2 linked regions of the Schizosaccharomyces pombe genome follow. Changing the gene in region 2 together with the main gene of any one other region gives a genetic interaction. Each region holds a gene or a part of one and is shown on either strand. Other genes may lie near its edges. The genes, in order: SPOM_SPAC977.15 and hul5.

Region 1 (3,661 bases), 1.5 Mb from region 2:
AATTTGTAGGAGGCGTTGGAGAACGTGAAAATATTGCAGTAGTTATAGCTTACAATTCGTCAAAAAAAGAGAATTACATGCAGAAATTGTTAAACGAATTTACCTGCCGAAATGCTATGTAGATCTGATCTGTAAAGCGAAAACGAAGTAGACAATCACATGCACTGTATGGTTTTTTTCAAAAGACTGACATGTTACTCGGTCGGCGATCATAAACTGATCATTTAGCCAACCTTTCTGATTCTTAGCACTTGGTAGATGTTTGCTGAATACTAGACGGAAAATTACGTGAAATGTGTTGACAGAGAACGCTATTATCCAATAAACATTTTGGACAAACTATTTTGTCTAAAATGTAATTTTTCTTCAAATAAAGTAAGCGATTAATTTTTTATTATGTTTGTTTTAATGAAGAAATTTGAAATCTAGAAAACCCAAAAAAAAATATCTTGCATGAATTCAGTGTTTCCTTAAGGAGATCCGCACACTTTCAAGTTGTCTCGTTCTGTGTTATGAAACAGCTAGTTAATTATAACCATAAAACTAGACCGTAAATCTTTGTACGAATTCGGAAAAAGGTACGTTTTATTGAAGCAGCTAATGGATGAATTTATAAAGCATTCAGCCTAGTTTTTTCTTTTAAGATTGATAAAAATTTTTGTAATTTCAGAAATTTCTAGTTAGGTAGTATATGACGAATATGGAAATAAATTAGGCCGCATTAAACTTTTGAAATTGTATCCTATAATTACTCTCAATTGAAAATGATAATAGTTGCAGTAGTTATAATCACTTAACGAAACTTTATTGAATATGAAATTAACAAATGTTGTTGGCGGTCAACGACAGGTGCTATATTTATTCTTAACTAATCCAAAAATCTCTAAGCGACACCAATACTATTTAAAAAAGTTCTTTAAAGAATTTTAAAAAGATTTGGTAACCTAAATCAAAATATTTTCGATTTTCAGGATCCGATAGGTTGGCTCGAGCTGCCATCCATCCGTGATGCATTTTTCCAAAAGTCTCAAAATACGATTCAGAAAAATATGGAGAGTTTTCGAAACTTTTCTTCCAAGCATCAACTTCCTCAGGATCTTCGTCCTTTGAACATAGAAAGCAAACTGGACAATGAACATGTTTAGCGTCTACAGGATCAAGAAGAGATGGATGCGCACATCCAATACGCAAGAATCTTTCTTTATTAGGATATGTAATCAATACTTTGGCACCCCAGCAAAAACCATAAGCACCTATTTTGACATCTTGACCATGTATCCTTTCAATGTCCTCTATGACCTTTGTTAATTTAGGCCAATGTAGTGGAGAAGAAATTTTCTCCATAAATTTACTACGTGCTTCTTTTTGCTCAATCGTTTTTGGATCTATCATTTCTATAGAGGCTGTTTCACCATTCAGAAAATCAGGAAGATAAATAGCAAGCTCGTGATTTGCCAACTGATCAGCTCCTTCCTTTATTTGTTTACTTAATCCGAAAACATCCATAAATCCAATTAAAACAACTTTACTTGAGCGCTTACCAGTGAAGTAAGTCTGCATCCCTCCAATGTCTTTCAGCATCTCGCCTTGGAGTTCGTAATTACGGTTCGTAGGGGCCGCACCGCTTTTAGTTGGGCAGCAAGGCATTTTTTTACTTCGAATGTAGTAAATAGAGTAGAATTTACGTTGAATTAGTGCTCATTTTGAAATTATATAAAGTATAGTCGGTACAAACCCGAGGAACCGAGGGCTCCGTTTTCCGCGGAGTTGGCCATAAACTAGATATCCAAAAGTTACTAAGGAATAAAAGATATACAAATGAATTTAATTTAGCCAACATGCAATCAGAAGATTCTGTATATGAATTTGCTTTGGTAATTAAAGTACGTTTATTACTAACTTGTGAAATGCTTCCAATTTAAAAGGGCTATTATTTATATAATATAAAGAATCTGTAGCATGACCAATATTTATTTATATACTTAACATCGAAGAAAAACTATTGATTTTCATATACTGTTCGTATCGTATGGCAATTGTACATAAGTTTAATAAGACAATCCATATGTAGCTTGATGGGATATGAACATTATTATGCATTAACTTTCTCAAATGTCTTAATTCTTTAGTTAATTTATTTAATTCTTAAAAATAAAGAAAGGTATTTTATAACTTTCTAGAATACTACTGAGTAAGTTCAATAAATAAGGAAAACCTTTGAATCTGAAGCTAAAATATCGATTTGGAAAGAATCGGCTAATGGCTTTGTAAATCTGCGGTAGTATGTTTTTTCTGTATCTTTGGGAAATAAGATAACCCGAAAAGTACAAACGTTGGAAGTGAAAGTAAGTGGAAGACAAAAAAAATTACTGCGTTCTGAGAAATGATTAAATGAAAGGGAAAAACGAGTAAACAGTGATATCCTTAAGCGATTTCCCTTTGATAGTGATATTTATTTTTTTTTGTAGAAGAAATTGACGAAGTAAAAGACATCTTTTTCATTAATAAAAAAATTAATTTAATAAGCAACTGAAGATCTAACATGTATTTGCTTAACAAGTAACTGACCGTTGGTTTATTAATGATTATGAAGAATAATTTTTTTTTTAAAAAGAGTCTTTAATGAAATAAATCATTTTCTACCGTTTTATAAAATTTTCAAAATATTTATTTTTTCGACCATTACTCTGCCAAGCACGAACACTTAAGTATATCATTTCAATTTTGAAATTATTATAATTTCTTAATATATTATATCTACTCCATAAACAAGGCCCTCAACTGTTTTAAAATACTCGAGGAGGCGTGCATATTAGTAACCGGATGAATAAAAGTAAAGCAACTAAAATAGTTAATAGAAGGAAATATTTATGAATTTATTCTTCGGATCTTATTATATGAGAAATTTAAAAAAAGCATAAGAATAATCAAGATAAGCCGAACCTTAAATACGAAATTATTCTATTAATTAATTTATGAATAAATTTAAGTCACACTTAAATAGCAAACATTAATGAAGAACTTTTATTTGGATTCTTAGTAGACGAAGTATATTAAATTCCAGTGAATTCAGCAGATTTAAACATTTCGTTATTAAGCATAATGAAATTGAGATTATTCCTTTGAAGTATTTATTCGATGCAACAGTGACACAGAAAAATGCTTTGCAGATACAATATGAATGCTGCACAATTTTTTATAAAGTATGCACAACAACTTCTTGAATAGGCAGTTTACCAACAAAGTTTATTGAGATCATAGTTATTATATCCGTAATATTCCAACTTTTCTCACACTTTGAAATATCTATACACATTTGCTTATGCTATGATCGCTAACACTTTATTATGGTGAATAAAAGAATATTTAATGAGTCTAAGTTTAAGACGATGTATTTATACATATTATTGTTTTTGCATGCTTCATATACTAAATTAACGATTTATTGTAAAAAAAGAAAACGAGGGTTTCAACGTCTACTTGAACATTTCAATCATTACACAGAAATATTGAACAAATTGATACAACATAACCTTTTATTTATTCTACTAGTCAAACAGTTGCTTACATATATGTAGATGTATTAGAATAAAACAACCGAAATCCTTGTTTGTTTGACTATCGTGGCGCATAGCATTTGAAAAACGTATGTTTATTTAAA
Region 2 (6,222 bases):
CGTGAATGAAATCCATCGTAACTTTCATTCCACAGTTGAACGTAAATCAAATATGTTAACACCAGATTTGGAATTCGATACCAAACACTTTGTGTTAACAAAGAGTCATCAAAGACCTAATTCTTCTTAAAAGCATCCCCAACTTCTTTCGAGGCAAGAATTTCCTTCACCGATTGTTGCAATGCATGAGGAGCATTGCGCAACAATTCGGGATGATGCATTAGTACTTCCTCAACGGAAACACCGTCCTCTTGAGCGGTTCTAACTTTGATGTTGCCAAGTAAGGAATTCAATTTATCTTCCTCTTCATCGACAGAAGGAAGAGCGGACTCTTCTGCAGTGCCTGACTTCTCAACTTTCGAGGTGAAAAGCCTAGCATGTGCATAGGAAGCTCTGCCCAAACTAATTGGTAATATTCTTGTTGCATTGAAAAGATTAAGAGAGCCAAATAATCGAATACCGTTTAGGGAATATCTAATCATTGTGAAGTTCAAAGCTATTGTCTTCTAAGGTATTGAATAATTAAGGTATGTAGTTGGTGGTATTGGTAGGCGGTTTTCGAGCCACTTCAAAACGTCAACACGTCAGTATTATGTCAACGTCATGGAAATTTAAGCTTGTTATTAAGCGAAAATGCTTTTAAACAGTTTTAGTGTAAACATAAATATATACATTGTATTCGCGCGAAAAAAATTGAACTGCATTTATCTATAAATCATAACTCTTAAATGGTAAAACTATAAATTCTAAATAACTTTAAATCCTGATAGACAAAACTGAAACAGAGACTCAACAAACACCAATGACATCAACAAAGAATTCGCCAGAAAAAAGAAAGAGTAAAGCGTTTTATATTATAAAGAAAATAAAAGGAAATAGTTTAAAAATATTCGACAGAACGGTTCTTAGATCAGGTTGATTAACTAAAGCCAAAACCAACACCTGACCTTACTGCGGTTAATAATTTACTAAACATTGGTTAGATTCAATGAAAATAAGCTTAAAAACTTACTCTCTCAACGTTTGCTTTGTACTATACATCGGCAGCTTTAAAAGGTTTACACAAGTACTATAATAAATACGTTAGTAAAAACTTATAGATGCAGACTACAATAGTCATAACCTACCTTGCAGTTGGTAATCGTGTTTCATCTTCCCCATTTACACGAATACAGAAAGAAGGCATAAGCGCTTTAAATCCCAAAATTGGTGGACGAGCAACGCTAGTAACAAACTTAACAAAGCTTCTTTTGTCTTCTTCTTCGAACTCTCGTAAAACTTCCCAAAATAAAACAATAGTAGGTGAATTTGGTTCGTAGCCTCCAGCATAAACGGTATGTCGGCGTAAATCGTCAATGTCAATCGGTACAGGATCACCACCAACTAGTATTTGAATTTCACTTTCATGAAACATTGCTAACCAGTGTGGATCGATAATTTGAGTGAATCCGTTGGTAAACGCACGACATTGTCTAGATAGCCTTGCATTTAAATAATAATTGGAAACCAAATGAATATACTGTAAACGATTTTCATTCGTAACCGAAATGTTGCTTCCATTTGGAATTAGGTCAATTACGTTACGAACACCAAACTCTTCATGAACAACCGTAAAATTGAGAGCCATATCATTTTCTACGTCTCCATCGTAGTTTTTAAGAAATACCAATCCTTCATATAAGTTTGGATCAAGGCTAGTAAGATCGTCAAAATAACTTGGATGCCCAAGCCATTTAGCGACAAAAAAAGATGCGAACGCTGCATCAATCTGAATCCCTTCGTAAATGCATTTTCCAATTAGCATCCCTAAAAATTCATAACAGCGCAATCGTTCAACGTCTTGAGCATATGCATGAGTATTTGGATATAACAAATGAGCCTTTGTCTCACTAAAAAGCCCATAATTAATGTCAAAAACAGTTTTACATATACTTGTTAAAAACTCCTTGGTAAGACCACCTCCATCGATACCTTCTTCAACAACACCATGTTCATCTACAAATGTAATTCGAATAGGACCTTTAAGTAACTTCCCAAAATTGTAAAAAGCGTCAAATCCATCATCGAAAATACGATTTCGACGAATAACTGCATGTTTTAGATGACCAAACGGCTGGGCATAACCGTTAGCTTGTTTATCTAAAAGAAGTAGTTGCTGAAGCAAATGAATGCGAAAATGGAAGGGAAGGAAAAAAGAACAGTTATTTAGGATATTTAGCCTTGGTCGGGACTCGCTGAAGTTATCGAATTTGTAAGTAATATTAATTTCCGCTTCAGCATGTGAAGCCAACTCTGACTCTTGTAGTGCATTAGCTTCAAATTCATTCAAATTGAAATATTCACTCATCAAAAAGAAATCTTCCGGAAGAAATTGTTTTCTTGAATTTATCCTATATAACTGTTGTAAAAGGGAAGTTGACGAGACTCTTAATTGAGAAATATCAACCACAGATTTACAGTCAACATCTTTAGCAGCTTGAACATCCCAGTACAAACCTAAAACTAGATTTTTCAAAACAGTACAAAACTCAGCCATAACTGGATAAAGCGGATTTTGCTTATCGTTATGAAACTCATCGTCGATCATGGTAAAAAGCATGCGTGAGTAAACATCAATTAGTAATTGTAGTTGAAACCAGTAGCCGGAATCATTTTTTAAGACATTTTGAACATCAAACTTCTTATGGAACAATTGATAAACAGGCGATTCGGAAAACATATCCCAAGAAAAACGTGAAAAAGAACGAGTCAATGAGCCTTCGTTAGTTTCTACTAAGGATATATACATAAGAATTGATGTTCGGTTGGATGGAAAAAGTTTTATCATGGTTGCATAAAAATGTGACATAGCTTGTAAAGTATTAGATGACACTAATTTGAAAGCTTTTGTTATAAAAGTAGAAGATATACATTCTGCAAACGATCGCTGAACTATACCAGATTGATTTGCGTAATTTTTAGAAAAATGTTTAGCAACCATTTGAAGATGGCTATAATAATTTTGGGAAAATGCGTTTTCATCGTCTTCATCATCGTCAACATCACTGACCACTTGGATTCGAGAATTTACAGATTCTCCTGAGAAAACATATAGTGCATCTAAGATATAAGAGCAGAATTTCCATAAAGAACTGTTTTTGTATTCCGTGTGCAACAAATGAAGACAGTTTCCAGCTAAAGAGAAAACTTTTATCATCCCCAAATTTAATAAAGAAGAAATGCAGGCTTCTTCGGATAATTGCAAAGACGAAGAGAAAACTTTATCAATTATTAGATCTGGTGGTATACAGTTTTCAATTGAGCTAAAACAGTCCGACGCAAGGACATGAAATAAAAAAGCCGAACTGCTATTTGCATTCTCATCAGTTTTAGAGCTGACAGGTGTAAGTAAAGATAGAGACATAATATCTTCAAGATTAGTCATATTTTGTTTAGGGTATATTTGAGCATAAAAAGTCATAACAGAGTCATAATACGTAGATAATTCAGAACTTTTAAGGTAAGGCGCCACGTATGCCAAACAATGAAGGAGAGATGTTTCGGCAGATGTATCAGTACCCTCTATCCTATGTGAATTAATAGAACTGACTAAGCAATTTAGTAGCAAAGATGAAAACCTCTGCCATAGCCAGGAGTCATTTGAGTTGGATAACGTCTCTTGTACTTTTAATATTTTCACTTTTAGGTGGCTTTTTGGTGTATCATCCATTCCATTCGATAGAGGAATTAAATTTTCCAGCCAAACCAGTATATTATGCGCAACTTGAGAAACAAATGGCAAGTCGATATCAGGCTCAGCAAATAAAACAAGAAGAGAAATAGAGCATTTTATATCTTCCAAAGTATTGAATCTGATAGATGTACGCCCTGATTTTGTGTATTTGTATATCCAGCGCTCCCGGAAATCTTGTTTAAATTTTCGCCTAGCTAAAAAACCTCTAGACAAGGATTGAACGGCAACAGAATTATTTTCTGCTTTTCGTTCTTCTTCTCGATTTTTGCGCTCCATGGCTGCTTTTCGCAACAACTGAGCGCGATCGTTGGAGACACGTTTTCCCCCGAGATTAACATTTCTTTTGGCTTTAAACGTTCCTTCAAAACTTAAAGGCATTCTTCAAAAATTTCTTATATCAATGCGGTTTTTAGGTATCAAATACAGAACTCACAAGTGTAAAAAAGCAAATATAAAAATCAAACAGCCTTACACTCTAATAAGGCAAAGATTTTATGAAAGACTTAGAGAAAATAGAATTATTAAAAGTTTAAAATCTAACCGTTTAGTAAATTATAGCGTTTTAAGAACTTTCGAGATGATTAGGTAAACAAGAACTGCTGGTTTAGCGCATGAGTAACGGTTATATTAATTGAAGTTGGAGGCAAATATCGTCCATGTGAAAGGGTTAACCATGGTACTCTATTCATTATGATGAGAAAAGTAAATTGATCATAGGAGATGTTTTAATTTCTCAATCATAAAAAAAGAAGTATGCTTCAAAATTTGATTGCGTGTCAATACTGATACATGGCACCTCCACCTACATGTTCAAAGTTCCTTTTTTTCCATTGTAAATAAATAACTGCTTATGTTTAAGAACCAGTTTGGTTTGTAGAATTTGAAAAGCTAATTATTTTATAAAATAGTTCTCAGCAGGTATTTATAAATCCAGCACCGATTATCTGATTTAAAGGCATTTTATCACTGTGTATTGGAATTACTACGTTGTTACAAATAGTTACTGTTTATCAATTTTTTACATTTCCAGAATAGGGAACGAATTTTTTTAATTTTACCTAATTCCTCATGTTTTATTCCACCACGAGTTGGTTTCAGAAAGCAACACTTGCAATTGGAATAGGAACAACACTTTACGTTCTATTTAAGGATCTGGTTCGGGACCAAGAAGCAAAAAGTGAATCAAAATCAAGAAAGAAAGTTATGATTCTAGTGGATGAGGTAAATATGTTAAACATAATTTGCTAATTATTTGATTATTAACTTTTATTAGACCACTAGTGAAGAGGATATTAAAAAATGGAGTGACTACGATCTTTTCCTTGCTTCCCGTTCTACTTTGCTTTCAAAACATACCTCCCGATTAGAAAGTTATGTTTCTCATCCTTCTAAAGCTCTTCGGTGTGATGACCCTGATAGTATTCTCACATTCCTAAAACATCTAGATATTAATATCTTGGTTTGGAATGCTCATTGGTCATCTGAACGTTTAAAAACTCAATGTGAAAACCTTGTTTACATTTTAGTGGAATAAATAAAACGTGTTGAACATTTACAAATATTTGTGACATTATTATTTAAGTACCGACTAGTAAAAATGACTGGACTATAAATACTGGCTCTCCCACAAGTACATGTTTTCAAAAGCAAACTACATGATGAAACACAATATTATCAAATTTGTCAAAACTCAAAGCGCCATAGATATTAGTATCTAAAATTAACCCAAAAAAAGCAAAGCATTCAATAATCTACTGAAATCTAATCTTAACTTGAAAGATTTCTACTGATTTACAGTAATAAACAAAACGACTCGCCTGTGAAGCAATATATCAATTCAATATAAATTATCCAACCGGATTTTGCATTTCAAGAAACTATAGGCTAAGTGGAACAAAGGTCCTCGAAAAAAAAACATAAAATGCAAAATAATATCCCTGTGAAACGAATAAACACCCATTCGTCAAGATAAAAGTAAATAAACTATACTAAATTTCCAACAGGCTTAACCCTTATTTCTTCCAATAGTGAAAACTTTCATAGAAATGTCATTCACTACTCAGTGAAGCCAGGCTCTTGATCAACGAATTCTTGCAAAACCCCAATAGCTTCGTTGACTCTTTCATTAAGAGCGGAGTCATCCTCAAGTAACTCCAATAACTCGGAATTAGGCATCTCCAACAACATACCGGTAATTTTACCAGAGAGTTTTTCCTCACGAACGAAAACCTTAGGGTAAAGAAGCTCACCAAGGACCTGCTTCCTGCTTTCCTCTGGAACGGCAGCCAAATCAGCAGCCGTGAATCTTTCAGGCATGCCAGGGACTGCGGGAACAGCTTCAGCTTCAGCAGGACCAGCAGAAGGAACGGAACCAGGCATCATCATAGGACGGCCTTGAGCGGGGACGGGACCGCGAGCGTTCATACCGGGATAGCCAGGGGCGGGACCTCCAGCAGGGAACTGAGTGGGCATGCCAGGATACATAGGCA

Evidence for each region.
Region 1: mutations in hul5 (region 2) and SPOM_SPAC977.15 together harm fitness more than expected from each alone (negative genetic interaction), as found in Schizosaccharomyces pombe (one large-scale study listed by BioGRID).

What each region holds. Positions count from the first base shown.
Region 1 is NC_003424.3:60,975-64,635, reverse strand, and holds SPOM_SPAC977.15 (dienelactone hydrolase family, implicated in cellular detoxification), read right to left. Parts: upstream 1,686-3,661; 5' UTR 1,648-1,685; coding exon 904-1,647; 3' UTR 774-903; downstream 1-773.
Region 2 is NC_003424.3:1,544,393-1,550,614, reverse strand, and holds hul5 (ubiquitin-protein ligase E3), read right to left. Parts: upstream 4,354-6,222; 5' UTR 4,112-4,353; coding exon 1,128-4,111; intron 1,070-1,127; coding exon 1,013-1,069; intron 969-1,012; coding exon 920-968; 3' UTR 534-919; downstream 1-533. Other genes in the region: protein mug143, read right to left, coding at 117-482; SPOM_SPAC57A7.15C (uncharacterized protein), read left to right, coding at 4,802-4,954, 5,007-5,267; pabp (major poly(A) binding protein Pabp/Pab1), read right to left, coding at 5,789-6,222. UniProt on the Schizosaccharomyces pombe protein: Probable E3 ubiquitin-protein ligase which mediates ubiquitination and subsequent proteasomal degradation of target proteins.